4 linked regions of the Struthio camelus genome follow. The protein of the gene in region 2 interacts with the protein of the main gene of each other region in a pairwise test. Links are inferred from orthologs where the notes say so. Each region holds a gene or a part of one and is shown on either strand. Other genes may lie near its edges. The genes, in order: FSHR, APPL1, UBE2O and ADIPOR1.

Region 1 (7,067 bases), on a different chromosome or scaffold from region 2:
ACAGTCTTCTCCTGAAAACACTTGGCGCATGCCAACCGCACAGTATTCTCAGATCTGCAAGTAGCAACATACAAACTGAAGCATAACGTTCCTCCCAAGATTTTGGCGGGCAAGCTGAGCAGCAGACATGGCAATGAGAAAAGGAACGAAAACCCATTGTTTCTGGTCCCTGCTCTGTTACAATATGTTAAGTACAAACAGGAGTCGCTCAGAAAGTGAGACTGCCAACCCTTCCTGCTCTGACACACATGCTAAAGCAGGTGCCAAGCCAACTAGAAGCAAAAATCGCAACTCTTATACCATGCGGCAAAGCTCACGCTCACTGCTGAGTGTGAGCGCTCACCCTCAACAAACTGGTTACAAAAAAGATCCTGGCAGCACATGCCAAGGCCACAGACCTAAAGGAAAAAAAAAAAAAAAAGTCCATGGCAAAGAACAGAGATAACAGTTGATTGGTCTGAGATGGCCATATTTTTACCTTCATCCTGACTTTTCTCAGTAAGTGACCCAGCTGGTTGCCACGTACCATTGTATTCACTGAAACAGCCATGGTGAGGCAGAAAAACACAGAAATAGGGAAGTGCTCCCTCTTCAAACACACCTAAGGCTTATCAGGCTCCTGTTCTCACTCCAAAGCTTTCGCCTGTGTATCATTCAACATCTAAATGACATTAGTAGGAAAGCTATCAAGGCCACAAAGAGAAGGTGAAGAGCCTACTGAAGAGGACTCCTGCCCCTTATGTCAAAGGTAAATAGACCACAGCATCCAGCATCTTCCCAGAATTCTTTCCTAAATGAAAGAATTCACTGTGCAGGAGCTGTACTTATAGTAGAAACATGTCTGTGCTTGTGTCCTATGCAAGACTGTTGGACACTGTGGCCATCTATGCTCAAGCTGTTGCACGGGTTTTACAGGCCCTGTGACTCCTTGAGGTTTTTTATTCTCTGTTACCAACAGTGTGTTGCCACAGCAGCTGGAGCAGTAAACCTTATCTTAGCCAGCTGAATCAACCCACTGGGCCTTCAGCATACAGATGTGACTGTAGGAAGGCACCTTTTTATAGCCCCTCTTTTAACCTTGAATGAAAACCTAAGGCTTATCCGTCACTTAACTCTTCAGCTAATGTATCAAGCTTATTCACATTAATACTTGATATATCAGAAGTAACTTCACGGAGTTTTTATGGACAAATTCTTTAACCAGGATGAAATCAATCCCAGGACTATCACTGATTTAATGGGATGAGAATTATCTCCTGAGGAACCAAAAGTTGGTGCAAATGAGAAGAGAATCAGCTGAAGAGATTCTGACGCTAATATTTATAAAACACTTCAAGAAGTGAATCCTTTTTTCTTTTTTTCAGTCACACTAATGTCCTACTCAGCTGTTTCAGGGAACATAGAGTCATTCTGAGATACTAGCAACCTCAACAAACTCTTGAAAAGTTAACAAGTATCCACTGCAAACAAATTCCACTTACTAACAGGTTCCTTTTAGTGATATAAAACTCTATTTCTTTTCAGAAATAATTGTAGAATGATTTTGCTTAATCCCAAGAAGGCAGACCTTAACTGTGTAATCTAAAGAAACAATCAAAGCAAAATTAAACAAAATACCTGGAGTATGGTTCACTCAGGATTTAGATGACCTAAATCACAAATGGATTATTTTTTCCTCTAGTTGTGAGATTGATTTAAACTTTTACTGACCTTCTGCAGTTAATTCAGATATTTTTCTCAAGTTTTCACCACAGTCTACTTTAACCTACTTATTCACTGAACATAATGACTACTCCTTCTCAATTAAAGGAAACTTCTCCACTAGAAAAACTGTAGCATAGCATAGCACTGATAATATTATGGTCTGTAAGATCAGGCTAGTGACATACCATTCCTCCTCATACCCTCTCTCCAAACTTGCTGCTCCAGTTATTAATAACAGAGTTTATCCAGGACTGCTGCCTTCATTTTGCTTTAGGTCTTAATGATGTTAGATGGCTGTGGGTGTATGTAATCGGTGTTATATGAGGTGATATAACTTGCTATAAAAAAAAAATTAGAGAGTAAAACAATCACTTGGACTGCTAAAATATTTGCCATTCTGTGAATTCTCTTGCTAGCCTGTGTTACTGACACAGAAAACAGTTGCCATGCAGCATTTTTCATGTTATGTCATGTTTATGGAAAACAAAGAGAAGCCTTAAGATAGACAAAACTCCTTCTTGAGTAATACAGTACTGTATCTTTACATTGTTCCTTCTCACCAAATGCAGTCATACTACTTCTTTGATACAGGAGAGTCACACTCTGAATCCTTATTAGTTTTTTTTTTTTTTTAAATGTCTTCACAGTTTCAAATGAGAACAAGAAATTTCTTCTTGGCAAATAAATACAAACCTTTGCGAAGTTCCTGCAGTGCAAACAGGAACGCTCATCAAGTTGTTTGGGGCAGACAAGTTGTACCACACATTTCAATAATGCTAAAGCGAGCTGTAAAGAAAGCTTACACTTTATGCTTCAAATTACTGTTACAGTGCCGAGGAGGCTTGTTTAAAGTTTCCTCTATACGTTGCATTATAAAATACCGTATCTTTTCTTAACAGAGATCTTAAAATGAACATAACAGTAACAGAGAGACATTTCAAGTTGTAATTTAAAGAATGTCAGAGGAACTGCTGCGCTTTTCAAACAGCCGGTACAAGACTCTTGAGTGATTCCCTACAAAACTGATTCTTGGCTTGCCAGAGAGCAGTTTATTTAAAACAACAACAACAAAGCTGCTGCTTGCAACCGTTCCCTTTCCCTACTTACAGTTCAGTGGAGTTCTTGGGAATGTCCCGTGGAATCTGGATCACCTTGCTCTCCTGACAAATGAATATCCTGCCAGAGCAGTGACACGTGTGATGCTGACAACCAGAGCAGCCAGCCAGGAAAACCAGTAAATAGGCAAAAATAAGAGACATGTCTGTTTCTACATCTGTTCCCTTCTCCTCCATCTAGAAGAAGGGACTGCAGCAAGTTCCCTGTGCAACTAAGAGTGACTCCCTTAATTGAAGATCCGCCCTAAAAGCTGAGATGGATCATGTGATTCCTAGGGGATGACTTCTATGCAAGTTTCAGTTCATGGCCTGTGATCCTTTAGGGTCTTAGAGTGAGGACGAAGAGAAGCAACGCTGAGTTTCCAAGCCAAACTTATTTTATATTTTAAGTAGTGAAATCATGGCCTAACTGAGCTAGCCGTAGGACTTTTGACACCACTGCATATCTGCACTGAAAAAAAAGGGTCTTTCTTTTCAGCTATGCTACTTTGCATGCGTTGTTTGGTTAAGACCAAGGGCCAACAAAGCATTTTCTCCTTCTGCAGCCTGGGCTCTTTTTTCCCTGGAGAGGGAGAAAGGATTTTATGTTTCCCCTTCCTTGATCCTAGAGTCCCTGCTGGTAGGTTGCTCCTAGGCAAAAGAAATGTGTTATTTTTGCATTTTATAGGCTATATAACCTATTTTATAGGTTAAAAGCTACGCAGTCCTAAAGCCAAAGCTAAATGACACCCCTTTATTTTCAACTGTGTTTGATCTACATGCCCTAGCTGACTCTTTTCTTCCACAGCATCCTTAAAGAAACCCAAGCAGGAGAAAAAGCCATGATCCAAATGGTCCCTTGAGAACCGTAAGCTTATTTGATCATCTGGAAAAAAATCCTGAAGAGTTAAAGAAGTGGCTATTTGTGACACAACAGGAGGAGAAAACTTCAAAAACAGCATCATAAGGCCTGGAAACTGAATGCTGTCTTTGAGTGCTTATCTATTTATTTTTTGACTGAGCTAAATTATCTTTCTTGTTACAAATACTAATCCTTGAGGAAGGGACCTTGCTGTTTCCTTTCACTGAGTCATTCTACCACTTTATCATCAGGAACCAGGGTTTGTCCGTAAGACACTTGAAACTGGAATTTTGAGGTACACAGTTTTCTCTTTTTTTCAACTGTGTCGTTTACATTCCCATCTGTAAATGGCTTTCTCAGACACGCAGCGCTTTGAAGCTACGTGCATGTTAAATCCAGTTAAGCTGGATTTCCATGGGTAATTCTGTTGAAATGGACTCACATTCAATCCTCCAGATTGCTCAGAATGATTTTACTTTTGTTAGAAGCAGCAGTGAGGTTCCCCCCCCACCCCAATAATCAAAAAGCATAAGCAAACCTAATGAAACACAAGATTGTTTCTTTTTTCTCTGAAATTTTCTGGTCAAAACATTTCACCATTCTCACAATGGAAATAAGCTCCAAACTGTAGATGATTCTGAAGATGATTATGATTTTTAAAACTAATTTAACCCATTCTTTAAGTTATCCTAATAGTTACCCTAATTCTATAAAGTATCACCAAATTTTTATTACTTTTCCTCACTCAAATTAAACCTCCTGAAGATCAGAACAGTGACATTTTCACAGAAAAGGGTAAGAGATCATGACAGTTTCTTCCCAACGGTGGTAGACTTGTAATGAATTGTAAGAGGATTAATTTACCTATATATGTAAAATACAGTCTGTTTTGCTAAGGGCTCTGAATAAGTGTCAGGGTAATAAAAACGGCTGCAAAAAAAAAAAAAAATCTAAAATATTAGTGACTGTTTGTCATTCTTTGCCTAAAACTATTAAAGATCTTAGACCTACAAGCTCTACTGAAATGAATACAATCTTTACTTTCATTCATGCTGAGGGAAATGAAAACTGCAGAACTAAGTCCTATGATGAAATAAATTTCCACTTAATTTTGGTGTAAAAAATTCCCGTAGGCCGCTGCAAGTTGGACTAACGAGACACTTTTAGGATTTACACAAATGCCAGGAAGATAACTCATACGTATAAATTTTTTGTTCTTGCAGTTGTAATAGCAAGGCTCTAGTTTCTCCAGCTGTAGACTGAAAGTAGTCTGAAAAAGTATGAAGCTTGAGGAATATGTGGGACACAAGAACACTTGGTTAGGAAAGAATGTAAGGCATTTTCCTTCATTCTGAAATATATCAATATAAGTGGCCATGTTACATTGATGAAATAGATAGTCATATTTATGGCAAAATTAAGAAAAAAGTAATTACATTCTATGAATATCAAAATAAATGGTACCAACATGAAAACACAGCGATTTGATTAGCTTTGGGTTTCATATATCAAACTATGTAATTTGTTTCAGGTGACAGTTACCGTTTTATATGTGAAAAGTCAGGAAATTAAAAAAATAACTAGAGATACAAGAGATCTTTCCAATCATTAATGACTTTCAACACTGTACCAGATGTGCTTTCTTTAACATAACTCCTAAAACACAGACATTCTAAAACATCATCTCTGGCTCAGATGCAAATCATGAGACTCACGAAGAAAAACTGGAAGGAGGATGGCTCTTTCTGGTTTTGGTTTTGGAAGGCATTTTTATCAGTACTATACACATTGCTCCACAGTCATTTGCAACAAGTTGAGAGTGAGATGCTAATTTTAAATAACTAAAAACAAGACTCTCTTAGAATAGCATAGAGATAGGACTTTGAGGAAAACATCCAGTTATCATTAAATTCAACAAAATCAGACTAGCAAGCAAAATGGAACTGACATCAGTATTAGAGAAAGCACTAATTTGGAACCCCACTAATATTACCTGAGGATAAACAGAGATTTTCAAGGATTTCTGAGTCATTCTATACATATAATTTCTAATCCTGAAGAACAGACTCTGCGCTGTCCATCAATTTTTTGAATTGGAAATCTCTCTCCTAATTTCAGTTCACTGCTGTCAAACGACATACAGCTGCATCATAACATTCCCACGAATGAATTAATCAGCTGATGATCCTCTCTTGATGGCTGTGCTACCCGTTCAGGAACACACACCTGTCTCCTCTCAGGACAAAAAAAAACCTGGAAAGGAGGGAGAAAATCCCAAGGTTCCCGCCAGTCACTTTGGGGGAGGTGAAGTTCACAGACCCTTCCTGAGCATAGGGCTGCTGCTGCAACTACCACTGCGCCTGAAGACTCCAAGGGCCTGGTGCAGGGGTCTGTGAGAGCTGCTTAGAGTGAGACAGAAAGATGCCCTGAGCCTTTCTGCCACCTGAATACCCGGTGGTTTCTTACCTCTTCCTCAATAGCTTGTTCACAGCAACACAGGGGGCAAACTCCTGCCTCTGCTGACAGGCCCCAAGCACTCACCTTGCTGCCTTCATGGGATTACAGGCTGGGAGTAAGAACCTCTCTTGTGCCGATGGCAGGTGGGGATACACTGTCACTGACGTACATACTGATGAAAGTATAAATTCAGAAATGATGGTGTTTTCAGATATTTTTAAGAGCCTTCCTTGTCTTTGCTTCCCTTTGTAGAAGATGTGTGCTTCAGCTGGTAAATCAGTTTTAAGAATGTATACTGTTTTCCTGAACAAGAAAGCGGAAATTTCCCCAAACTGAACCACTGTAGCAGCAGACATGCAATGAAGTGAATTATGACAGATAATCTACGATATCATTGTTGAGTTTATGTAATTAGATGTCTTCTGGGGTAGACAGTGAATTCAAGGTTATATGGTCACTGAGGGCTCCCTTTTAAGACAACAATAAATGACTCTAGTTGATAGGACTGACCACTGATATTAGCATTGGCCTAATTTTGCAAGTACTGAACTAGAAGAACCGGGGCCTTTTCCGGATCGCATCCTTGGATGAAGAAGAGGTGTCTGCCCTAGGCCACGCTGCCATCTGGGTTGCCGAGGCTACAAAAGGAAGCAAAACGAACCGCCCCAGCTCTCACCAAACCTCTTCTAAATATACTGAGCAAACACATACTCCCTCTAAAGCAGTGTACTGACACGGTCATGCCTTCTTCCACAGCTCTGATGTTTAGATCTAAATGCTACTGTTTTTGTAAGGCATAAAGTTTACCAGCTATTGGAGTAAATAAACCTACAAGCCAGCAATTTCTACTTGTGTTTCTCTGCTCTTAAACAAAACATTAGGGGTAATAAGTATATATTCTTTTAATAACTACTGAACTACTACTGAATGCCACTGTAACGTTACCTTTA
Region 2 (7,494 bases):
ATTTGAAAGGAATATCATGCTAGGTTTCTGGATGATCTTTACTTTTTAAAACAGAACACTGCAGAAGAAAGTACTTTCTATGTTTTATCGTAAAATAATCAGCTATTGATTCTCAGACTTCAGACTGACCCTATGTCATATTGATGGAAAGAAAAATAATCTGAAATTGGAAACAAGTAATGACAGACCTTTGCTTAGCTTAAAAGTCAGAGGAATTGTTTACTCTTGTTTCTAGCAAAAACTTGAGAAATTGTGTATATTATTTGAGACTCTTTCATGTCATATATGAGAGCAGGTACACTAGAAGCTACCGGAGATAAGCTACACAAAGAAATGATCTAGTGAGAAGCCAGTGAATCGTTAAGCATTCGATACCATCATACATATTGTACTGCAAGTGACGTGAGGCAGAGCCTGTGCTGTCGTGTCTCTTAGCTCTTTCATTGTGTAGTGGTTTGCAAATGGAATCAAGTCTGAGCAGAAACTCTCTCTAAATACTTCTATATATATACATATATATACACACACATACAGAGACAGAGAACATGTGTGTAATATATGCACTAAGTTAATTGATATTTGAATCAAAGTCCTTCGCTTAGCAAAAACAATGTAAACTTGGCATTTGGTTTATGTCCAAAGCCAGAGCGGTTAGATTTTTATCTTGCATCAAGACAAAGTAAATGGCATTGCCATTTTAGAAAAACACTTCTTTCCTTCAAATGCAGAACAAGTTTGATTTGATATTTATTTAAAATAAAATCACAGTCTCAAACATGTCTAAAAGTGCACAATTCCAGTCCACAATTCACCACAAAACAATTGTCTAGGTTGATGATCTCCTTCAATATTACAGCAAAACATTATGAACACTTCATCATAATCAGAGCATCATGAAAACTCCTGAAGGGAACAGGGTTTCCTCTTTCCTCAAGGATCACTTGTTGCCATTTATGGCATCAGACACTATCCACTACCAGAAGCAGAAGAGTAAAACCTGACAGTGATTAAGTAAAACAAAACTAAAGTGTCTTTAACCATGCTGATTTCAAAGTAACAGAAATGAACTGATGTAATGAAACAAAGCAACTAAGCCGCCATGGTTTTCTAATAGGTGATCAGTCAGAATTCACCTGAAATATTAGGTTGGCTGAAAGATGTAAAATTTTGTTCTTAAAACAGGAGAAGATATAAGCAAATCTTGCACATCAACAAGTAAGCACTGGGCTGAGTTAGGCTTTGCTAATCAGTTTTTATCACAGATAACCTCAAATGAAAAGATTCTAGACAGGCAATAAAAGAATTTACAATCATGTTCCAATAAGTAACCTTCTCTCATATGCTTCCCTAACGATGTCCCAGTCTAAAGGGCTTGAAGAAAACGCTTCATCCTACTTGTCATGTGTAAGACAAATTCAGTATTCAAAACGTTTCCTATAAGTAAAAACAGTTCCGATTTCCATACACTGAGAACAGATCTTCAATGGGTAATTCTCTTAAATTAGTATTACTATAGTGCATTCAGATTTTTTTCCTTATTTCAGTCAGATGGGCCAGAGACTATACTACAGGTTAGCTCTCATCTGAAACTCAGTATGACATCTGGCATTAGAGTTACACGGGGCACACTCTGTTCGAATGCAATGATGCATTCGCGACATGATCTTCTGTTGTCTTTTCTAAGCAGTCCCTCCACTTGATGTGGATTTGCTAAAATGGTTGTCATTCTAGGGGTAAATATTTCATATTAAGCAAATGGCAGTTTCTCTTCTGCCATTCTGTAGATTCCTCTTCTACAGCTGAGGAATCAAAAGTATCAATGAACATGCTATTACAATATAAGAAATCTTGCTCATCTACATAGACAACGCAGCAAAACAATGATGCTAATTCTAACCGTTGACATATGAGAAACTATATTATAAACTAACTTTCATTCATGCCTAGGAAGAGTGCGCAAAGTACTTGTTGCTGCCAACAACAGAAACCAGTACAACAGAATAAAGCATTTCCTGCTTAATAATAGTAAAAAATAGTAACGTAATATATGGCATCACTGACAAAGTTCAAGCAGCAGAAATGGAAGTGAAGAAAACAGCAATTAAAGGTCTCTCAGCACCATGCATTTCCCATCTTCTCACAAGCATCACGATATCATTCAGCAACTGCATTTCATATTTATCTAGTAAACCTTTTGTCTTTTCAGTAAACTATACACACATAACAAAACTCCTCTTGAGAAGTAAAGGATCCAGTAAAGAAGGTTTTCTCAACACGAGGTTTCCAAAATAAATCATGAATGTAAATCTGGCGCTGGGGGAAGGGAGGGACAAGCTACCACAGTGACGCCCGAGGCAAAAGCACTTGCATATGCAGCACAGTATCTCTAGAAAATCGTCATTAAGCTCGCTACTTTGTAAGCAGCTAATGAACCCGCAGGACACCTGAGGCGATGCGGTGATGCAAGCGGGAAGAAGGCGCCGCAGCGACACCTCGCCGGGGCACTGCCGGAGTTGACAGCCCAGGAGCCGTGACTCCCGGCCCCAGGCCGACCAGCCCACGGCCGAAGCCCTCCCGCACCAGAGGCGAGGAGAACAGGAAGGCAACCGGCCCCGCAAGCAGCGTCGCTGCGCCGCTCCCAGGTCGGGCTTCTCTCTCCCAACGGCCGCCAACGTCTCCCCGAGCCCCTGAGGGAGCGGGGGAAGGGGAGGGGGAAGGGGGTGGCGCAGGACCCAGTGCCCCCGCGCGAGGCCCGGCCTAACCTCCGCCCAGCCAGCTGCGTCGCGGCCCCTCTCACCTGGGGGCTGTCTTCCAGCGTCTCCTCGATGGGGAGCTTGTCGATGCCGGGCATGGCGGCCGCCGGGGTGGACTCTGCGCCGCTGCAGCTCCCGCACCCCACAGCGCACCCAGCTGACTGGGCCCCTCCCCCCTCCCTCCACTCACAACACGGGCGCCGCCGCCTCGCGCCGGATGTCCCGCCTGCTCTTCTCCGCCCGCCCCCCCTTCCGGTTCTGTTCTTCCTATTGGTTCCTTCGCCTCAGCCTGTCCAACTCCTTATTGGTTCGCGGCTGCGTCAGTTTGTCTGTAGGTGTTGGGGGGGCACGTGGGCGGTGTGAGGCACGTCGGGCCGCGCCGCGCCCGTGCGTGGGCGCGAGGGTCTGTTCCCTCATCCCGCCCTTTCGCTGCGGGGCGGGGGAGGGGCGCGCGCGGGCCGTTAAACGGTCGCGCCGCGGCTCTGGGCGTCAGTGCTCGCCGCGCCCCTGCCGTAAGCTGCTCCCCTCCCCCTCCCCCCCCCCCTCGTTAGCATCCCCTCCTTCCCCCGTCAGTATAAGTGGGCGAGGGGGAAGAGCTGTTCTCGCTCCTCGGGAGGGCGCCCTGTCAGCCGGTGCGTGTGGGCTGCCCCGAGTCCGGGGAGGTGAGTCAGAAGCACTGACGCAGGGCTGTTTCCACGCTGAGGCGTCGAGCTCTGCGGGCCTGACGGAGATGGTTGTCAGGCAAAGTTGCTGGGAAAACGCTGTTTTTTTTTTTTTTTTTCTTCTGAGTTTGGAGTTACAGGCGTTGTGCGTTAATTCAGTATGTTCTTCTAGCCTCACTGTAACTAGTGGGATTTTGTCTTTTTTTACTCTGTTATTGTCTTACCCCCTACCCCACCCCCGAAAAAAAAGAGATCATTTTGGGGGCAGAAGTGCAGTGGGAATAATGCTATTGTGGCCCTGTTGTGGTAGAAGCACTCTCCTGAGCACCAGGAACACCCCTTTTGAGAAGTCCCCTTTTATCTGTCTCTTGTCTCCTTCCATCATCATTCAGGACTTCTAGCAGGAAGGGATTTCTTTCTATCCATAAATACTTTGTATTTTTTGTTACAAAGTCACGGTTTCAGCTGAGGACTTGCTGTTCCTGAATGGGTCTTGAATGGAAAAAATACTCTTTATAGAGCAGAGTGTGGTCTTTCCCCTTCAGGAGGGTGTAATCAGTCCTAATGGGCTTTCTGGTTTCTTTGGCTGGCTGAACTTGCTGCTACAGATTGGTGGCCAATTCTAAGTGGCTGAGGCTGCTCTGAGGGCTTATTAGAATTGAACCAGGTCATTGTGCACTGTTTTAAAAATAGCATGTTCTTAAATTGCCCTTTCTACAGCTCTGAGACCAGGACATTTTGATCCTAGTTACTGTATTTTAAATTATTCTTGCAGGTTAAGCAGTTTATATTTTTAATACACAACCAGATTAGAAAGTAGGCTAAATTAGCCGGTGGAGCAAATGATTAACTATTGTACAGTCTTATTATGAAGACCTTATTTTATGTTTGTATAAGATTACATTTTGCTTTTAAAAGCAAATGAAGAAAAAAGCTGGTATTAAATTGTAAACAAATACAGCTTTTTGAGAATTTCTTTTTTTTTAGGGAGCGGTGAGGAATTCTGTGTTACAGCTCAGTTCAGTCAGTTCATTTACCAGCTCAGCTAGTGACTCATGTGGCCTGAGGCAAGTCACACTGTTTCACTGTCAATACTCTTTCCCTGTCACATGAGAGCAATAATAGAGTTATCTTACAAGGTGTTTTAAAGATTAAGTCTTTCATCTTCTTGTTTGGTCTTCTGCATTAAAATATTACTTGCTGAGCTATGATTGGATCCATAACTATTGTATGGCACACTAGTATTTTCTCATGAGATATATATATGCATAACTTTCTGGTTTTGAGATCAGTTAACTTGTGACCAATTTTTACAGCTGTCTTCTGTAAGAAATGCTCTCTATTTTACATAATATATAAGATTCATTTCCTTAGCAGGAAATGCTAAGATGGTAGCAAGTAACTTTAAAAAGAGTTGTTCTTTGTTACCTTTATATTTTTACAGCTTTAAGTGACAGAAGAAAAATGTGTTTGTTTAGCTGCTGTGAGTTGAGAAGAACAGCACTTAAATCAGAGAACTAAATGTTTCATTAAAAAAAACACTGACAACATGTCTTTAGTATGTAGAAATGTGTCTTGGTATCTCAGCTGGCACGTAGCATAAAAACGTGTCTTGTTTCTGTTGAAATTAGTGGTCCATTTGCCACTGGCTTTAATAGCAAGTAGGGATCTTTTTCATAATTCTGTAATATAATGCAGCTTCTTTTAATTATTAGTCAGGGTTTTTAAGTAAATCTGTTACATAAAACATTCTGTAATGTCTTACTGGTCTTGTTGTGCTACATATACTTTTTTACAAATGTTAGAAGGCATCAGAAGGTGTTATTTGGGATGCAAGTTTGACAGCAGCAGACAAGTTTGGATGATAATGAATTCCTCTAAACGCACTAATCAGTCTTTTTCAATGAGATAGATATATATATATATTTGTTAGTCTCTGTGATTCTTTTTTTCTTCTTTGTATCAATGACTGCTAGGAAACGGTAAGAGTGCGGGTAACTGACGCTTGACCCTGTATAAACAGGGAGAAGAGCAGTCAACGGCTCTTTAGAGGGCCTCAGATGGGTCCGCTAACAGAGTGAACGTTTTGCCTCTGCTGGAGGGTGAAAGTCGCTGTCTGGATAATCAGGTAAGTCTTATCTGCATCTACATGCGCTTTCTCAAACTTTTGCTGGTGCCACCCTTGGACTTACCTTGAATTTATTTGTGTTCATTTAATCTTCCTGGGTCAAAATAGCTTTTAACTCAGCCAAGAAATAGCTAACTGCTTTTATTTATTTATGAGAAACATTAGCAGTTTTGAGGCATTCTTACCTTTTAAAAAAACAAACGAAAAAACCTCTAAATTTTGAAGCTGGCTTTTACTATACCATTCATTGACTATAATGTTATATAACTATAACATTTGACTATAACATTCACATTCAAAATGTATCAGGAGGGGAGCTCTGTGTGGAATGTCTGTGGCAGTGAGATACTGCTGCACTTGGGTGAAGGAGCTGTGGGAAAGGTGAGATGAAAGGCAATTTTTTTTTTCGTGTGATAAGTGATCAAGAAAGATGTATATACACCATTTAGCCTATTTCTAAAAAGCCAAAGATACTGGACAGGCTATTGTGAAAGGTGACTTGGCAGTGGAGTAGCAATAGGTGACAATGCTAATAGGTAGCAACAGTGACCAGTGGGGTTTTAGATGGAAGCCACCAAGAACTCTTCATGTGGTCACTTCAGCTGACTATTCTATTTATAAATAGAGTCCTTAGAGGCTTCACTTCTCTAAAGTACAAGAGCTCCAGCCACTCAACAGATGGACTCTGCTGTCCCTCAGCAAAAAACTGTGAGTGGGGCCAAACCAGAAAGGAAGATTAGAGTTAGCTACCTCACCAATCATGTGGTGCTGTAAAATGAGCAGATCTGTACATCCAAGGAGCAGTGATTTTTTTCGACTGTTGATTACTCAGGATTTTCAACCTAATGTTTGTTGTATTGCTGTGGTATTTATTTACTCAAAGCTATTTGTTTAAAATTCTTTAGATAAATTCATGACTTGCAAGTGAAATCTTGGCCCATTAGAAATGAGCAATAAAAGGGGATGTCATTTTTGAATGGAAGCTCAAGCTGTATTTCTACTTTTAGTAGAAATTCCTAGAAACTGAATCTACTTCTTTACTGTCAGTTCTTCTTAGATCTAAAACACTGTAACCTTTCTGCCCCATGAAAATACATTTTTGTTTTCACTTTTTTATAGAAAGGTTTGACTATTTTTGCATTAGTGACAAATATTTTATATATAACTAAGCAAGCTTCTCTCCAAAGAAGTATCGCAAACTTTGGAAGTTTGGTCTTCAGCCAGACTTCCTGGTAGATATATTTCTACATGTATATAGTTTTGGAATGAAGTAGACTTGTTATCTTTAGAATAATTTCTCTTAACAGTTTGTGAAGTCTCCACAAGATATGTGGAGCTGCATGAACATTATAAAAGTCTCTTAGAAATATGATGTTTCAATTTCACTGAATTCCGCAGAAATTAGAAAGTGTGATGTGCACGTCCACTTTGTGAACTTATTAATTGGTGCTTCCAGTTCCTATAATAAGTTGCTGCCAAGAACTCAGTTTAAAAACAGAATGTTGATATGTTACTGCATTGTTGTTCCTGGGTGTGAATCAATTCAGCACTGAGCAAATTAATATCATATGATTATTTTAGTAGTAGCACAGTTTCTTATTCAACTGTCTGAATATTCATTGTTGAACAAACTTAATGGCTGGGCAAGTATAAACACCAGATGGCACTATTTGATTAGTTTCCAACATGTGTCTAACAAACTTAGATATCTGGGTTTTGGCCTATTTTGTGAAGATTCTTTCTGAGAGCTATCACAATCTCTTTTCCCTTGGGGGGGGGGGGGGGAAGGGGGAAGCCTGCAAGTTGCTGAGTGTTCCCAAGTGGGAGTTAAAATCAGAATACCTTACTGAAGGTTTTCTGCATCTTCCACAAGCTCAGAAAGTCCAAAAATAGATTGTAAATATTTGATCTAGTTAATGGTTAGCTTTGGGGAGATTAAGTGTCGCTTATA
Region 3 (7,112 bases), on a different chromosome or scaffold from region 2:
AGAAAGTTTCTATTACTTATTAACATCAGTAATTGTGTGCTGGGGTTTAAGCGGCAGTTTGCCTACCATTTCCAACAGGAAAGAACAAAGGTAAGCATAGAACATCTAGGAAAAACAGTAAAAAGGATTAGCCTATATAGTACCTGGCAGGGAAAAAAAAAAGTTTTAACCCACAAAGTTCAAGCAAAACACAAGAAATCTCTAGGGTTATAATCCAGTTTTTCTGGTTATAAACAACTGCATTTAACCTTTGCACTGGAAGCTGAAGGTACTCTTTCACTGTCCTCAAAATTTGCAACAACTTTGTTTCTCCCCTTCCTCAGTTACAACACATGCTCTTACCAATAAACCTGCCAGGGTTCATAGATCTTTAAGCGCTTGACAAAGAAGGATCCACATGAGAGAGACAGGCACACAAGCGTTTCACATGGGAAAGAAAAATTACCGTACAGAACAGGTATACAATTGTGCAAGATGAGGCTAGCAAGAGCCCTGACCCCAGGGCTACCTTTATCCTCTGACCATTACAGAATTAAGATCGCAGGGAAATGAAAGGTACCTTCAAAGAAACGGAATAGGTACTCTCTTGAATCCAGGGGCTGACTGTGACCAAGACAGTGAGGTTAACATAATAAAGACATCAAATAGAATTCCACAGCTAAAGATGCTGGAGAGTTAGAGGCCTGGCCAAAATAATTATGGTTGGCAACAACATTCTAAAAATTAACAAACTTTAGGCCCAGGACAACCACGTGGTCCTTATGGTTCGTACCCCTCCCAGCTCGGACAACAACAAGCATGTCAGCTTACCTGGCTGGTTCACCCATTAGTATAACGTGAAAGGGCTGGGTTAGAGGAAAGCTAAAAAACCCAGCTATAACCATGAAATGAGAAGTTCTGCAGCGCCTTTCCAGTGGCGTCAGATTTGTTTTTAGTAACCCTAAACTGCAGCGCAGATTGTACACAATGCCTATCCATTTTGTCAGCGGGCAGCTTTTTAAATGGAAAAAAATCAATATGACGGGAGTACACCTAAATTCCTTAGGCACTTAGGGAACTTTTCCCCAGGGGCTATTACCTGAATGGTAAAGCTGCCTACATCAGAGGGATATGACTTTGAAAAGGAAAGAAAGAGGACCATTTATTTACATAATTGCCTTTAACTTCTGATCCTCTGCAGTCTAGCTTTTTCTAATGTTGCGCAGGGTACAGTTAGCAAGTGACTAAAGTCAGAGCTAACACTTCCGAATTTGGGAATCCAGTAACAACTCCTAAGTCCATGTTTAATCACTCAAGTTGAAGTGGCCTCATTTAGAGGCTGAAAACACTCAACTTTGGACATATGTTGATGTAACAGCACACAAAGATTTTATTTGAAGGCTACAGTGATTGAATTGCGGCTCTAGGGAAAGAAGGTTTTTCTTAATGTAGAAATACGTAATGTGGAAATATATTTTCTTGATACCTTGCTTTCATTTTTCTCATCTCCTTACTGGTCACATGCCTAGTGACACTATCACCTAAATTTAGCTCATTCTGGTAGCGTGGGCAATCCTACCAATTTCGGTAGGAGCACAGCACACCTTTCTCTCCGTTTCCTCCTTTCAAAAATCAAGCAGAATGCTAAACAGCAGAGCAGATGGCATACCAGGAGACTCCTGCTTTTAGTTGCCACCCCAGAACAGCGCTCTGACTCGCTCTACTGCAAGGACAGCGCAGGCCTTCTGTTTTGTTCAGTGCAACGCCCATCCCTCGCAGGCCCCTTTGTGTTATATTACAGTGCCCCCTCTCTCTCTTTTGTCTCCTCTGTACTGCCAGTCACTCTGTGCAAAATCTGGCACCAGAATAACTTTGGGAAGTGGCAACGTTCTAACCCAGGCCTAAGAAGTGCCCTGAACCCTGTGGCTCTCTGGATGTAATTAAAAGGTCACAGATTTACCTAGGCCTCATCAAGAGAGGTAAACGTTCATGTAAACAAGGGCAAATCCAAACCACGGTTGCCCACCACTGGGATTTCAGCTAGTCACGATTACTCCGTTTAGCTGTTGGCTCCCCTACAACAGGCTACCATGATGCTGTCCACCGAAGAGACACTGGAGCACATTCCCAGCAAGTAAGAGAGGGTCGGAGAGCTTGCCTCTACTAGGAACTAGCTCAAATCCCCGACTGCACTTCCTCTAGTGCCATTAAAATCCAGTGCCTGGGAGAAACGGCTACGTTTCGACACCGGTGAAGCGCAGGAGCAGCGTTCACTCCAGGCAGGAGGCGAGGAGGATTCACTCCAGCATGACGAAAGACGGGAAACAGATTTCAGCCTCTGGAGGACACAGTCCACCTCCGGCGCTCAGACGCAGCACGCAGCCAGCGGCGGCACTTCTGGCAGGCGAGAGCGGAGGGATAACCACGAGAAGGAGCCGCAGGCCGGCTCCGCGGCCGGGCAGAGCCGCGCAGGCCCCTGCCCCACGAGGCCTCCGGCGCGGGCCGCGTGGGACGGACAAGGCCCCGCGACCGCGCGCCGAACCGGCGAGAACCGGCGGGGAGGCCGCAAAGGCGGCGGGGGGGGGGGGGGGGGACAGGGCGCGCCGCCGCCGCCGCCCGCCCGAGCAGGGGCCGGGGCCGGGGCGAGCCGTTACCTTGGTCTCCTTGACGTGCTGCTTGATGCCCTCCGGGTACCACTGCACCCGCACGTAGCCCCGCCGCAGCGGGCTGGCGCGGCCTTCCTCGGCGCCGCCGGCCCCGGGGCCGCCCGACTCGGAGCCGCCCGAGCTGGCGGCGCCGCCGCCGGTGCCGCGGCCGCCCTCCTCCTCCTCCGAGTCGGAGTCCTCGCCGTGGATGAGGCGCACCAGGCCGAACCGCACCGAGCCGCGGTAGCGGCCCGACACCAGGTCGTGCGAGAAGAGGAGGCGCTGCGAGCCGCCCGGCGGGGCCGGCGCGGGCAGGGGCAGCGCGGCGGGAGCCGGGGCCGGGGCGGCGGGGGCCGGGGCCGCCTCAGCGGGCTGGTCCGCCATGGCGCCGGGCAGAGCGGGGAGAGCGCGCGGCCGCCGGCGCAGGCTGGGGGAGGGGAGGGGAGGGCGGGGGGCGGGGCGGGCGGCGCGCGGGCCCCGCGCATGTAACGGCCCGGGGGCGGGGCCCGACCGCGTCGCCCCGCCCACCGCCAGGCCCCGCCCACCGCGGCGCCGGGCCTGCGCGGGGGGGGGAGAGGGAGGGCTGAGGGGAGGGGCCTGAGGGGAGGGAGGGCTGAGGGGAGAGGGGTGGAGGGAGGAGTGGGCTGAGGGGAGGGAGGGCTGAGGGGAGAGGGGTGGAGGAAGGAGGGGTCTGAGGGGAGGGAGGGCTGAGAGGAGAGGGATGGAGGGAGGAGGGGGCTGAGGGGAGGGAGGGCTGAGGGGAGAGGGATGGAGGGAGGGGAGGGCTGAGGAGAAGGGCCTGAGGGGAAGGAGGGGTGAGAGGGAGGGATGGAGGGAGGAGAGGGCTGAGGAGAGGGGCCTGAGGGGAAGGAGGGGTGAGAGGGAGGGATGGAGGGAGGAGAGGGCTGAGGAGAGGGGCCTGAGGGGAGGGAGGGATGGAGGGAGGAGAGGGCTGAGGAGAGGGGCCTGAGGGGAGGGAGGGGTGAGAGGGAGGGATGGAGGGAGGAGAGGGCTGAGGAGAGGGGCCTGAGGGGAGGGAGGGGTGAGGGGAGAGGGATGGAGGGAGGAGTGGGCTGAGGGGAGAGGGGTGGAGGAAGGAGGGGAGGAAGGAGAGGACTGCGGAGAGAGGGCTGAGAGGAGGAAGGAAGGAGGGCAGAGGAGAGCCAGGGATGAGGAAAGGGAGAGAGGGAGGAGGGAAGAGAGAGGGATTGAGGGAAGAGGGATGGGGAGGGCCCGAGGATGGAGGCAGGAGAAGGGGTGAGGGAGAGAGGGGAGGAGGAGCCGGGGCGGGGGAGGAAGCCCAGGGGGCAGAGAGGAGGACTCCGGGGAGACGGCTGAAGGCACCAAGGGGGAGCAGCCTCCCGCCGCGGCGCCCCCCGGGGCGGCAGCGACCCTGCGCAGCCGGGCCCGTCTCCTCCTCCCGGCCCGAAGCCCCCGTGCTCCGCCGGCTCCCGCCGCCACCACGGCCTCCCGGCGGGGTTGTTCCCAGGGAATTAGGGGCTGCGGCCGAGTCACAGCGGGAACCGCCCCGCGTTTCGGTAGCCCCCGCGCCCGGGGCCGCGCGACACCCCCAGGACGCCACCTCAGGGTCCGAGTGATATGAATCCCACCCGCCATCTCCTCCCTTCCAGCCTAGACTGGTGCTACCAGTCCGGGAGAGCTTCTGGATCTAGCGCGGCCAAGGGAGCGTGGGGGCGCACGAGGCACGGGCCAGCCTCCTGCCAGGTCCCGCACCAGCAGCCACCATCGAGGTCTGGCCACCTTCCGCGTGAGGGGAAAAAATAAAAAAATTAAAAAATATATGACAGGCATTTGAAGGCAAACTCGGAGACGGGGCGGGAAGAGGCAGGAGCCCGGCCTGGCTGGGCTGCTCGGGGCGCTGCCCCTTGTCATGCGCTCCTCCGGGTGCTGAGGTGCTCTCCAGCTGGCAGGAAAGCACGGCTTGGCTTTTTATGACTCCTAGAAATCCTCGTTACGGTGTGCGAAGGAGCCCAATGTTTGGCTTCGTTGACTCTTGTGGATATTTTCCCTTTTATCGGCAGGGATTTTTGAAATAAAAATAATTTCTTGAGAGGGCCTCGCTACCCGGGCAGGGGAAGGGCGAAGCGCATCCCAAATAGCCTTATTTGCCTGTCCTTTACTCAAAGATATCTTGTCACTTCACTCCATAGATCTCCCCGTCTGTGCAGCGCTGGCTGGAATATCAGGAAAATGCTTGAAATCCTCAGCCTGACTCATTTTATTACCAAAAGAAAACAAGAGCAGCATAGCAGTAATCTCCTCCTTTCACTCCCACAAACCCGAGCCCAGGGCTGGCCTGGCTCTATCCACCAGCTGGCTGTAGTTTCTCCTTCCAGGGTTTCTTCTTTCAGGAAAGGGACCGGAAACACAGCTTTTATTTTTAAAGCAGTTCCTGGATTTTTCCATTGGGTTTCTAGTCCTTCTCTGCCAGGAAACAGCACCCACTAGCTGTGCGAATCCGGAGCCTGGCTGTGCACGGAGCCCTCGCTGCAGCGGGCATCTCCCACGAGGGAGAGGTACTAGGAGCAGGATCACGTTTCCGCTCTGCCCAGCTCCTGAGATGTCCTCCTGCAGCGGTGGGTGCAGGGCACGCTTTCGGGCCGCCTTTGGGATGCTCTCATTGATGGCAGAGGGCAAACTATTCCTGACCTGTCTCCAGAGCAGGGAGCTGCAAGCGTTGCAACAGCTCGCAGTGTCTTCCTCCCTCTGGGTCCTAGGTCAGCATGACCCCCACATCAGGATTTAACAGCCTGCATCATTTTAAACAGAGGGGTGTTTTGCTGGTGTAGTTCCCTAGGGGAGCATTTCTCGGCCTTGACCCCAAGGATAAGGAATAGAACAGAGCTAAAAGAGAATGTTGTCCAGGTGGAAAAATATGGAGAAAGACAGTTTAAATATCTGTTCGACGTAACGTGGTTATACAGCTGTCGATATGGGCAGGATGGGCTTGTGGGAATGCAGATCCCCATCCACAAGCAAGAGAGGGCAGGGACCACTGTGAGGTGAACGAGACGAGGGGTGTAAAATCAGTGCTCAGCACTGTCAAACGCGCCTGTGCCGCCAGCACCATTTCACCCTCCTGTGTCACTCAGTCACAGCTGCGCTGGGGAAGGGTGTGCGGCACATCTCCCAAGGCCTGTATAGACAGCCCTGGCACACCCCCACGCTAGGTGCTGTGGGCCTGGTGCCAGCCTCCCTCCCTGGGAAGTCAGGGACAATTGTGGCCTTTCTCTGTGGGAACAGGATCAGGCCCTTTGGAGGGGTACAAGATGCCCTCTTCTTCCATTTGAATTGGCGTTATGTCCTTCTCATCATTCCACGAAAGGCCTAAAGCACAATGTGTATCCAGCGTGGTGATGTTTCTTATCATCTCCTTAATGTACACAGTAACAGCTGCTTATAAAATATAGATATAGTTAATGGGCGTAAACTTGTGTGTAGATGGAAACTGTCCCTCTTCAGAGCAATTACACGCTGCAGAGCAGCAGCGGGATTTCAGGTAGCCACAAATAGCCATACAAGCAATCACCTTATACAACCAGCCAGGCTCACAGCGTGGGGGGTTTAATGGGGCCAAGGCAGGGCTAGCTGGCTGCTAACAGGAGTCGAGCTGGGTGTGTTTTTGCACTCTGAGCTCAAACAGGGCTCTGATGTGCTCTTGTTCGGAAGTGGCACTGAAGAAAGGCTCGTCTTTTCCTTGGGAGCCAGCAGCCCCTGGCCTGGGCTGCTAACACCACTGAGATGCTTCAGGCGTGACAGTCCTTGGCTAGTGAGCATCTCCCCGTCAAGAAGCTAGGCAGTACTAGCTCTCTGGGGCTGGATCCCACATCTCCGCTGAGGGACCCCAGCAAGTCAGACCACTCTGCAAAATACTAAGGCAACACCAAGAAGCATCCTGCAGTTTTGTGTGTGTGATTTTTTTTTGGAGAACCAACTCGACTCAGCAGGTGGTCTGAACACCCAGCACTTGCGCAAGTGACACATGTCAAGCAGACTCCTCCTTTACGGACAGTTGCTGGTGTTGGACTATTTTAGGAATTGCTGTCACTTACTCTCTTTGCAGCACAGTATCTTCCTTGCGAATAAACTGCCTGGGTAACATCCCTGGCTTACCTGCTTCCACACAGAGAGGTTTGTGAAAAGCAAGCCCTGCCCTTCCTCCTCAGGACCTGGCTGGTGCTGGGTGCAGTGAGATGCATCTCTCACGGGGCATCTTTGCGAGGGCTTTGCGGGCCGAAGGGCTGCCTGGCACCCAGGGGTACCTTCAGGGTGCCCGGGGGTGCCAGGGCTGCAGCAAGGCGCCCGGTCACCTCAGCTGAGGAAAGGCTCTGGTGCCATCTCGTGGGCTGCAGCTCCTCTGCTGCAGGGCTGCAAAGGGGCCCGAGGGAGCAGGCCTGCTGGCTGCCGTGCGTTTTGGGAGAAAGAGGACGACACAGATCTTTATGCATACAAGGAGAACAGGCGTTT
Region 4 (7,950 bases), on a different chromosome or scaffold from region 2:
GTTATTTTAAGGGCTGCTAGCCCGTTCCTGAGTTTCAGAGGAAAGCGTTATGAAGTATCTGTTACACCTAACGTACATTTTTCCTTCCCTAGAGTAGAAACAGCTCATCTGACCTGTGCTGGCAGATCCACCAAGCAGCACTGGTAGAACGGCCACAGCGCAGCCTGGTCTCGCCCTAGCCAGCCCCTAAAGCCTGCGGGAAAGGGTCCTCCGAGTCCTCAGCTCAAGCCCCGCCTCAGGCACCTAGCAAGTGCGTCCAGATGTTGCCCGTCTCGGTGTGTATTCGGAAGATGCTCTTGAAGCAGGCTCGAAAGGACGGCATCGGAGGTCTGTGTCCATGCAGGAGGTAATCGTTATCCTTCAGCCAGTCGGGCAGCACGTCGTAGGGGATCACACGCCAGCGCCCTTCCCACACCTGCAACACACCAACCCATGCTGGTGACCACTGGGGCTGGCACTTGCCAAAGCATCAAGCCAACCCAGAGGCCCTGGTTTACTCGCCCCAGGCAGCTCAAAGTCACACATGGAACAAAACCACCAAGACTCTTCCCTACGGCCAAGGCTGAAAAGGTCCCTGTAACTCTCCCTTGGAAGAGGAAGTTCAACTTTTGCAACATCAGACACCCTATGGGACCCCTTAAACCACCCACATCCTGCAGAGCACTCGCCACATTTCCCCCCACCCCCGGGGAGTTCAAGATGATCCACACCCTTGCATTTAACCCATCAACACCATCAGCAATCTCTCTGTTCTCTGCAGCAGGGAGTTCCCTTTGAGTTTGGTCAGGGAAAGGGGATCTCTAGTGACAGAAGTGCCCTGGGTCTCGGCCTCACCCAAGGCACCTGTGTCACTGCTCACCCAAAAGTGGTGGCTGAGTGCAGGCACTGCTCTGCCTGGGGCAGAGCGGAGGCACCAGGCAAACTGGCAGCAGTGCTTCATGCTCCCCATCCCTGCCTGGATGCCCACAGAGGCACCGGCGCTCTCCAAACCGCTCCTGAGGTTACCGCTAATCCGAGGGGGCTAGACACAACCTCCAGCTGCCGACTGGGAACGCTGGCGCTTCCCAGCTGCTGTCATCCACTTCCCACATCGCTCCCCGGAGACACTGCTGGGACCAGGCCCAGGTGGCGAGCAGAGCCAGAGCAGACTGCAGGCAGAGCCGCCCGGCTGCGCAGCGCTCTCCTCACCCGGGGCCAGGCAGAGCGACGCGGTCCAAACCCCACTCCGGGGCCTTTGGGCTTCTCTCATTCTCCAAAATCAGGGCCGGGGGATCACTACAAACTCCTGTACCTTATACACGAACTCTTCCATCTTCTCCATTGCGTGGTGAGCCTGCAGAGGCAGAGTCAGCACACGGACCACCTCCTCCTCTTCCTCACGGGTCGCTGGGCATGGCGGGTCTTCAGCCTAGAGGGAGAAACACCGGGAGGAAATCATTCCGGCTCCCCAGAGAAACAAGAGCACCAGAGAACGGCGAGTCTTTTCTAAGAGCACCTGGGGGCTTCATCCTGCCCTGAGGGCACAGACAGGGCCCACTGCTCACCACTGCTTATGCAACATGTTACTCTCTTAACCATCTCAGGCAGGCTAATCCCAGATTTATTCTTGTTTAAAGGCAGGATTACAGGGGAGGATTTTTATCCTTACAACCAAGCCTGCAGGCTGAAACAGCCACTTGGGTCCAGCCAGGCTGAACGGCCCAGAAAATCCGACTGTCTCTCTGGGCAAACAGCCTTCCCACTGCTCTCCCACAAGTGCTGGGTACAATCTACCTGTCCGGGCCTCAATTTCCTCTCTCCTCTTTTTCCATTAGCAGGTTTGGGAAGGTGATTTCTAGCCCTAAGGGCCAGAAAGCAGCTGAATGACTAAGAGCACCCCGTTCACTCCAAGCAGCTGTGCTGGCATACAAGGACAGCACATCTTGGCTGACATCTCTGCACAAAGTCAATGCCTGTAAAATAAGAGAAGTTTTCGGGACAGGTTCTTGGACAGCTTTGAGCACAGCACGGACAACTTGTCAGCCTTTGGGTAACGAAGCACCTCACACCCTCTTTGCACTGACTCAAAAGCAACTACTAGATTCAGGGCTTTGAAAAGTACACTACGTTTCCAGCTTGCATCCTTCAAGCTGCTAATGGGATAAGGGGCACGTTTCTAGGTTAATCCTGCAGGACAGCGTGGAAGAGCCTGAGCAAGCAGGAACGGATCGGGCCGCAACTCCGGAGCACGTCCCGCTAAGGCCGCCCGCCAGCTTCGGGCTGATCGACGGGGCGAAACGCCGGCGGAGCGGGAGGGATGAGCGGAGGTTGGGGGGGGGGGGCCTCAGGGCTTACGCTGGCCGAGCTGGCGGCTCCCTGGTCCCCCTTCTCCTCCAGGAGCGGCCCCAGCTCGGCCAGCTCCAGGTGGGCTCGCTCCCGGCCGGCGGCCGCCAGCCCGTTGCCCTGCCCGGCGGCGGCGGCGGCTTTGCGGGACGCCATGGACCGGGGAGGGGGGCGGCGGCGACGGGAAGGTCCTGGTGGCCGAGGGCTGGGGCGACGCCGCGGCTGCCGGTGCAGGTCCCCTCCGCGTCCGTGGGCCGCCGCGCTGCCAAGGGAGGAAGAGCAGAGTCACCGCCACCGGCCCCGGCAGCCCCCCCCCCCCCGCCCCGTTACCGGGCACGGGCCCTCCGCGCGGCTCCCCCCGCGACCGGCGGGGACCGGCACCCCGACCCCGACCCGTACCGCCCCGGCGCTCCCGGCAGCGGCACCGACCTCCCCGCCGGGCCGGGCCGGGACCCGCGCTTGGCCCGGGGCCGCCGCCGCGGGGCAGCGGGAGGCCCGGACACCCCGCTCAAAGTCCCGGTGGGGGGGGGGGGGCGGGAGCGGCGGAGCCTCCCCCCCCCCCACGCCGGGCGCGCACTCACCGGCCGCTACATCCCGCGCAGGGGCGGCGGCGGCGGCACCGGAAGCGACGCGGAGCGAACGGGGCGCTTCCGCCCCGCCCCGCGGAGGAGGACCCCCCTCGGGGGCGGGGGCTACGCGCTCGCGTATTCTGATTGGCCAACGCCGCCGTCTCTCCCTCTCTCTCCCCGCCCCGCCGGCCGCGGTGATTGGGCCAGCCGCGGGGGAGGGCCGCGCCGCGGGGAGGCGCTCTAGCCCGGGGGGGGGGGGGGGGGGGCTCGCTGGCCTCGCGCGCGGCGGCCGCCCCCCTGCGGGCGCCCTGGGGTGGGAGAGGGGGCGCCACCTCCGGGAGTCCCGTGATGGCGGCGGGGCCGGCGGGGGCCCGGGAGGGTGCAGGGGGGGCCCCCACCCGGCGGCGTGACCGGGGAGCGAGGGGACAGACACCCGGGCCTAGTGCTGCCGTGGGGCCTGCGTTAGGGGGGGGCAACGGGCCCTGTTGCCATGGCAACGCGGCCTCGGGATGGAGCCGTCCGGCCAGGCCTGGGCCCGCTCGCAGGCTCCGGCCTGGCGGCACCAGCGGCGCCCGCTGCAGACTCACGAGGCTTTCCCCGAGGAGCGGCCGGGCCAACGCACCGAGCAAATGTCCCCAGCAATAATTCATGGCACAGGTCGCCCTCGGCCCGCTGCAACCGGCTCGTCTTTCCACGCTCGCCAAGGGCCAGATTTAATTACCTCTGCTAACGACAGCCCGGGGCCGGGCTCTCCTGCTGCCCTACATCCACCTCCTCGCACAATGGCGAATCCTGTTCCCCCATCAATCATTCATGGCCCCGCCGTTGGAAGGGGTTTCTCGGGGGGCTGCACCCCCAGGAGCGGGGGGGGGGTGGCGGAAGTTTTTCCAACCTTTCTAGTGTTGAATAGTCGCAGGCAGCCCCAGAGCAGGTCAGAGGCATCCGGGCCACCCGCTGCCCTTCTCGGGTGAGTGATGATGTAGGGTTCGAACCGTTTTGGGGAGCAGCGGGGTGAGGGCAGGCAGACGGACTGTGCTGTGGGGCTGGCGAGATGCTCTGGGCATGTGGGTTTCTGTGGGGCTGTGCTTCGTCCCTGGGGAAGCCAGGGGGCCCGCAGGGCTCAGTCCCTTTGTGGGGATGCTGTGGCTCAGCCCTCTCTGCTCCTGGAAATCTTAAGTGTGGATTTGGGGGCTCTCAGCACCCACACGAGGCACTGGCTCCATTGGGGCACTCAGGAAGGGTGCAGCACCTTTCCACGCACGGGGCCGCTGCTGACCCCACGGCACCCTGGTTATCGCTCCCCCATGTAAGGAGCCGGGGCTGGAAAAGGAGATCTGGTGTGTGCCAGGGCAGAGCTGGGAAGCGTGGAGGAGGTTTGCAAGGAGACAGATTCCTCCCAGTCCTTTCCCAGTGCCTGTCCCCATCCCTCCCCTCCATGGTGGCAGGGGAGGTCCCACATCCCACTGGACCTGGGATGCAGGATAGGTGCTGGGACCGGCTGCGGGCCAGGGCTCTGCTCTCTCCTCTTCAGGGACGAACACCACCGCCGTGCTGCCGTCTGTCTGCAGAGTTGTGACCGTCTCATCCCCTCAGTGTCCCCATGGGTATTTTGAGCTGCATAAAGTACCTGATGTTCATCTTCAACGTGCTGGTGTTTGTGAGTCCACCGGGGCCCGGTGGGATGGGTGGAGGGGAGCTGGCACCGTGCCGTGCCTGGAGCCAGAGATGGCTGATCCCACCTGAGGGGAGCCGGTGCACGACACTCTGGTGTCTGTCAGGCTCAGGGATGGGTGGCGCCAGTCCAAGGGAGGTGACCCCAGGAGATGTTAGAGCATCCCCAGTCCCCTGTGGGGTAGCTGGGGCTGGTCCCTGCTCCCCGTGACCGTGGCGTGTCCTGCAGGCTGGGGGGACGTGCCTGTCAGGTGTGGGGGTCTGGGTGGCTGTGGACCCGGCTGGTTTCCAGGACATCGTGGCCACCAAGGCCGTGCTGAGTGCAGGCGCCTACCTTCTGCTGGCCGTGGGCATCGCCCTCTCGCTTCTGGGCTTCCTGGGCTGCTTCGGGGCCCTTCGCCAGAGCCGGCTGCTGCTGCTGGTGGTGAGTGAGGGGAGTTGCTTGGGAAGGGAACGGCGGGGTGCAGGGAGCCAGGCGGGCAGGGTGCCGCTGGATGTAGGGTGTTACGGGATGCAGGGATCCAGGGGATACGGGGTGTTGTAGGATGCAGGAAGTCGCAGGACTCAGGGCAGCCCCACATGAGCCAGGAGCCTGGTGACCCCCAGCCTGGCCCCATCGTACTCCAATCCAGCCCCCACCTTGTGAGACTTGGAATTTAAAACCCAGGGGATTTTATAAAGCCACTCGTTGGGTTCATTTCTCTCTGAAGCTGCTGGCTTGCCCCATGCAGTGTCCGAGCTTTTCACCTTGATGGTGAGGGCTAGAAACCCCTTTCTGAGGGAGGCGCCACAATTTCTTTGGTGTCCCCTGACTCTGGCAGCTGGCGCTCGTTTTTAAAGCTTAGCCTTGCAGCTGTGGTGCTGAGACATGCATCTGTCCCCACAAACTGCACACTGGTCCCTGCTCCCTTTGCTGGTCTCAAAGGCACCGGGGAGGCACACAGGCAAGGATGGCTGCAGAGGCGGAGAGGAACAGCCGGAGCGAGCCGTCCTTGGGGTCGGGCTGGTTTCTGACCCCTCCGTCTTGCTGCCTTCCAGTTCTTCATCCTCGTGAGCCTCGTCTTCGTCACGCAGCTTGTGGGGGCTGTCCTCTTCCTGGTGCACTGGAAACAGGTACCATGCCCTTACCCTGCTGTGGTGCCCGGCATGGCCAGCCCCATTCCTCCCTGCATTAGGCCATGGGGCATGGTCCTGAGCCCGCCAGGAACTGGCCAGGGACTGGGACCAGTGCAGGGATGTCCTGCCTCGCCCTCAACTTCATCACTAGCACCCTGATGCAAGCCTGAGCCTGGCTGGCCCAGCCTTATGGAGGGGATGGATCCCTGTGTCCCCTTGGAGAGGTGACTCCCTGCCTGGTGCAGCGCTGGTCAGGGGTGGGTGAGGGCAGGTGCGCGGCCCCCTGTGGCCCCCGTCTCTGGCGCTGGTCCCATGGCACCCGCAGACAGCACTAATTCTGCAGATCCGTCCAGAGCTCTTCCTGTCCGAGCTGCGGAGGAACTACTGTGGGGATGAGGACACCAAGGTCTTCTCCACGGCCTGGAACACCCTCATGATTACGGTGAGCGGCCGGGGGGCACCCACCAGGCTGCCCAGGGATGTGAGGCACCCATGGGCCCTGCTGAGGCCCACCAGCCCTCAGCTCAGGGGCACCCTGAATGTGGGGACCAGGCTCATGGACCCCAGACAGACACCGAGCTCCCGCTTGGCTTTTCCCCCTCCCAGGATGCCCTCCCTCCGTCACCTCCCTGAGTGAAGGCCCATTGTGTGTCGACAGCATGTTGATGGCATTTCCCTTCCATTTCAGTTCTCGTGTTGTGGCGTTTTAGGGCCTGAGGACTTTGGGAATGGATCCCGGTTCCTGGAGCTGCACCCGGGGATGCCCTGGCCGCAGGCATGCTGCACCCGGGACGGGCTCCTGCAGGCAGGCGAGCTGCTGGGCTGGGAGCAGTGCCGGGAGAGGAGCCCTGGCTACATTCATGAGCAGGTAGAGCCACATGGGCACCCGCCCTGCCCTGCCATGTCCCTGGCCTCCCCAGCGCTTCCCTGACACGTGCTGATGGGACACCACTGTCCTCTGCCCCTGAGCAGGAGCCCGGTGCATTACCTGTGCTGTGGGTCTGCAGCCCAACAGCTCCCCAAATCTCTGGCTCATCCTGTCCCACCGTGGTGCTCTCCCACATATCCTGATCTCCCCCAGCCCCCTTGGTGACTCTCTAAAGCTCTGCAGCAGGCGAGAAGTGCCATGGAGTCCCTAAATCATCCTCCTCCACCCTAGGGCTGCTTCTCCACCATCGGCAGGACCTTGCTGAAGTACACCTCTGTCCCTGGGGCTTGCAGCTTGGCCGTGCTGGGCATCGAGGTACTGAGCGAGGGATGGGGCTGATGGGAACGGTACTGGTTATAACCCAGGACAGGGTGGGGAGCAGGTCACCCCACATGGGCTCTCTGCCAGGAGGGTAAGGGACAACGCTCTATGCCTGCAGAGGGACCGCAGATCTGCTCAGGCAGGACCCACCCAAGCCTCTAATTCCCAGCACCACAGCCATGAAGTGGGTGCACCTACAGTGAGGCTGTCTGTGGGGTATAAAGCTCTTGCCCAACTCTCCTGCTTGCTGGGAAAGAGCTGGATAAATGGAGGGATGGCTCCAGGACTGAGGGAGGGGGGGAAGGTTTATTTTGCTCCTGCAGCACAGGCCCGGGGCAGGGGGTTGCTGCTCAGCAGGCTCTCTGCAGAGCTCACAAGAGCTCAGAGGTGCCCCCTGAGCCACAGCTTTTACTGTGCAGCAAAAGGGCAGCTGGTGCGTGGTCCTGCGAGGGGCACAGCCATCACCCCCTGCCTTGATTAGAGCCAGAACAGATGCACAGCTGGGTCCTGTAGTCCTCATGCTGTCAGATTCCAGCTGGCGGCTGTCTCAAGGGGCTGGAGTGTTTGCAGGCTGCTCTTGCCCTGCAACAGGGAGATAACCTGTTCCCCCCCGCCCCGCCCCTCCTTTTTCTTCAGATCTTTGCCATGTTCTTTGCCTTTTGCCTTTATTACAATTTCGACTGAGCAGGACGCTAGGAGCAGGACGCCACGACCGCTGCGGGTGCAGCAGAGACAAGCCAAGTGCTTTGGAAACGGCAACAGGCCAGGACACTCCATTCTCTTGCACATCAGAACACGGCTCTTTAGTTTAGCACTGTAGTTACCTCCTCAGGCAGGCAGAAGCCTGGAGTCCTGCATCTACAGGACACAGGCTAACTTCCTCACAGACAAGCCTGCGGACTTACTAGAGAATTTCCAGAGTTTAACACTACAAAGTAGTTTAAATGCATCTTCTGCTTAGCATCTGCTTTCAGCTTGCTTTGATGCAGGGACAGCAAACTAGAAACTGCAATGGTTGATCCC

What was found.
Region 1: the proteins of APPL1 (region 2) and FSHR interact in a two-hybrid assay, tested with the Homo sapiens proteins (2 studies listed by BioGRID). The link is inferred for Struthio camelus from reciprocal best matches to the Homo sapiens genes APPL1 and FSHR.
Region 3: the proteins of APPL1 (region 2) and UBE2O interact in binary tests that used the Homo sapiens proteins (3 or more experiments, as listed by UniProt). The two-hybrid records come from large-scale screens. The link is inferred for Struthio camelus from reciprocal best matches to the Homo sapiens genes APPL1 and UBE2O.
Region 4: the proteins of APPL1 (region 2) and ADIPOR1 interact in binary tests that used the Homo sapiens proteins (3 or more experiments, as listed by UniProt). The link is inferred for Struthio camelus from reciprocal best matches to the Homo sapiens genes APPL1 and ADIPOR1.

The regions. Positions count from the first base shown.
Region 1 is NC_090944.1:122,575,988-122,583,054, reverse strand, and holds the start of FSHR (follicle-stimulating hormone receptor), read right to left. Parts: upstream 3,020-7,067; 5' UTR 2,997-3,019; coding exon 2,812-2,996; intron 1-2,811. UniProt on the Homo sapiens protein: G protein-coupled receptor for follitropin, the follicle-stimulating hormone. Through cAMP production activates the downstream PI3K-AKT and ERK1/ERK2 signaling pathways.
Region 2 is NC_090955.1:15,492,759-15,500,252, forward strand, and holds the start of APPL1 (DCC-interacting protein 13-alpha), read right to left. Parts: upstream 3,006-7,494; 5' UTR 2,852-3,005; coding exon 2,798-2,851; intron 2,643-2,797; exon of another isoform or gene 2,342-2,642; intron 1-2,341. UniProt on the Homo sapiens protein: Multifunctional adapter protein that binds to various membrane receptors, nuclear factors and signaling proteins to regulate many processes, such as cell proliferation, immune response, endosomal trafficking and cell metabolism.
Region 3 is NC_090960.1:9,208,976-9,216,087, forward strand, and holds the start of UBE2O ((E3-independent) E2 ubiquitin-conjugating enzyme), read right to left. Parts: upstream 3,009-7,112; coding exon 2,634-3,008; intron 1-2,633. UniProt on the Homo sapiens protein: E2/E3 hybrid ubiquitin-protein ligase that displays both E2 and E3 ligase activities and mediates monoubiquitination of target proteins. Negatively regulates TRAF6-mediated NF-kappa-B activation independently of its E2 activity.
Region 4 is NC_090965.1:3,954,625-3,962,574, reverse strand, and holds the start of ADIPOR1 (adiponectin receptor protein 1), read right to left. Parts: upstream 3,001-7,950; 5' UTR 2,904-3,000; intron 2,585-2,903; 5' UTR 2,479-2,584; coding exon 2,335-2,478; intron 1,409-2,334; coding exon 1,292-1,408; intron 416-1,291; coding exon 244-415; intron 1-243. Other genes in the region: tetraspanin-18-like, read left to right, coding at 4,492-4,548, 4,792-4,986, 5,601-5,675, 6,022-6,120, 6,367-6,546, 6,838-6,921, 7,616-7,747. UniProt on the Homo sapiens protein: Receptor for ADIPOQ, an essential hormone secreted by adipocytes that regulates glucose and lipid metabolism. Required for normal glucose and fat homeostasis and for maintaining a normal body weight.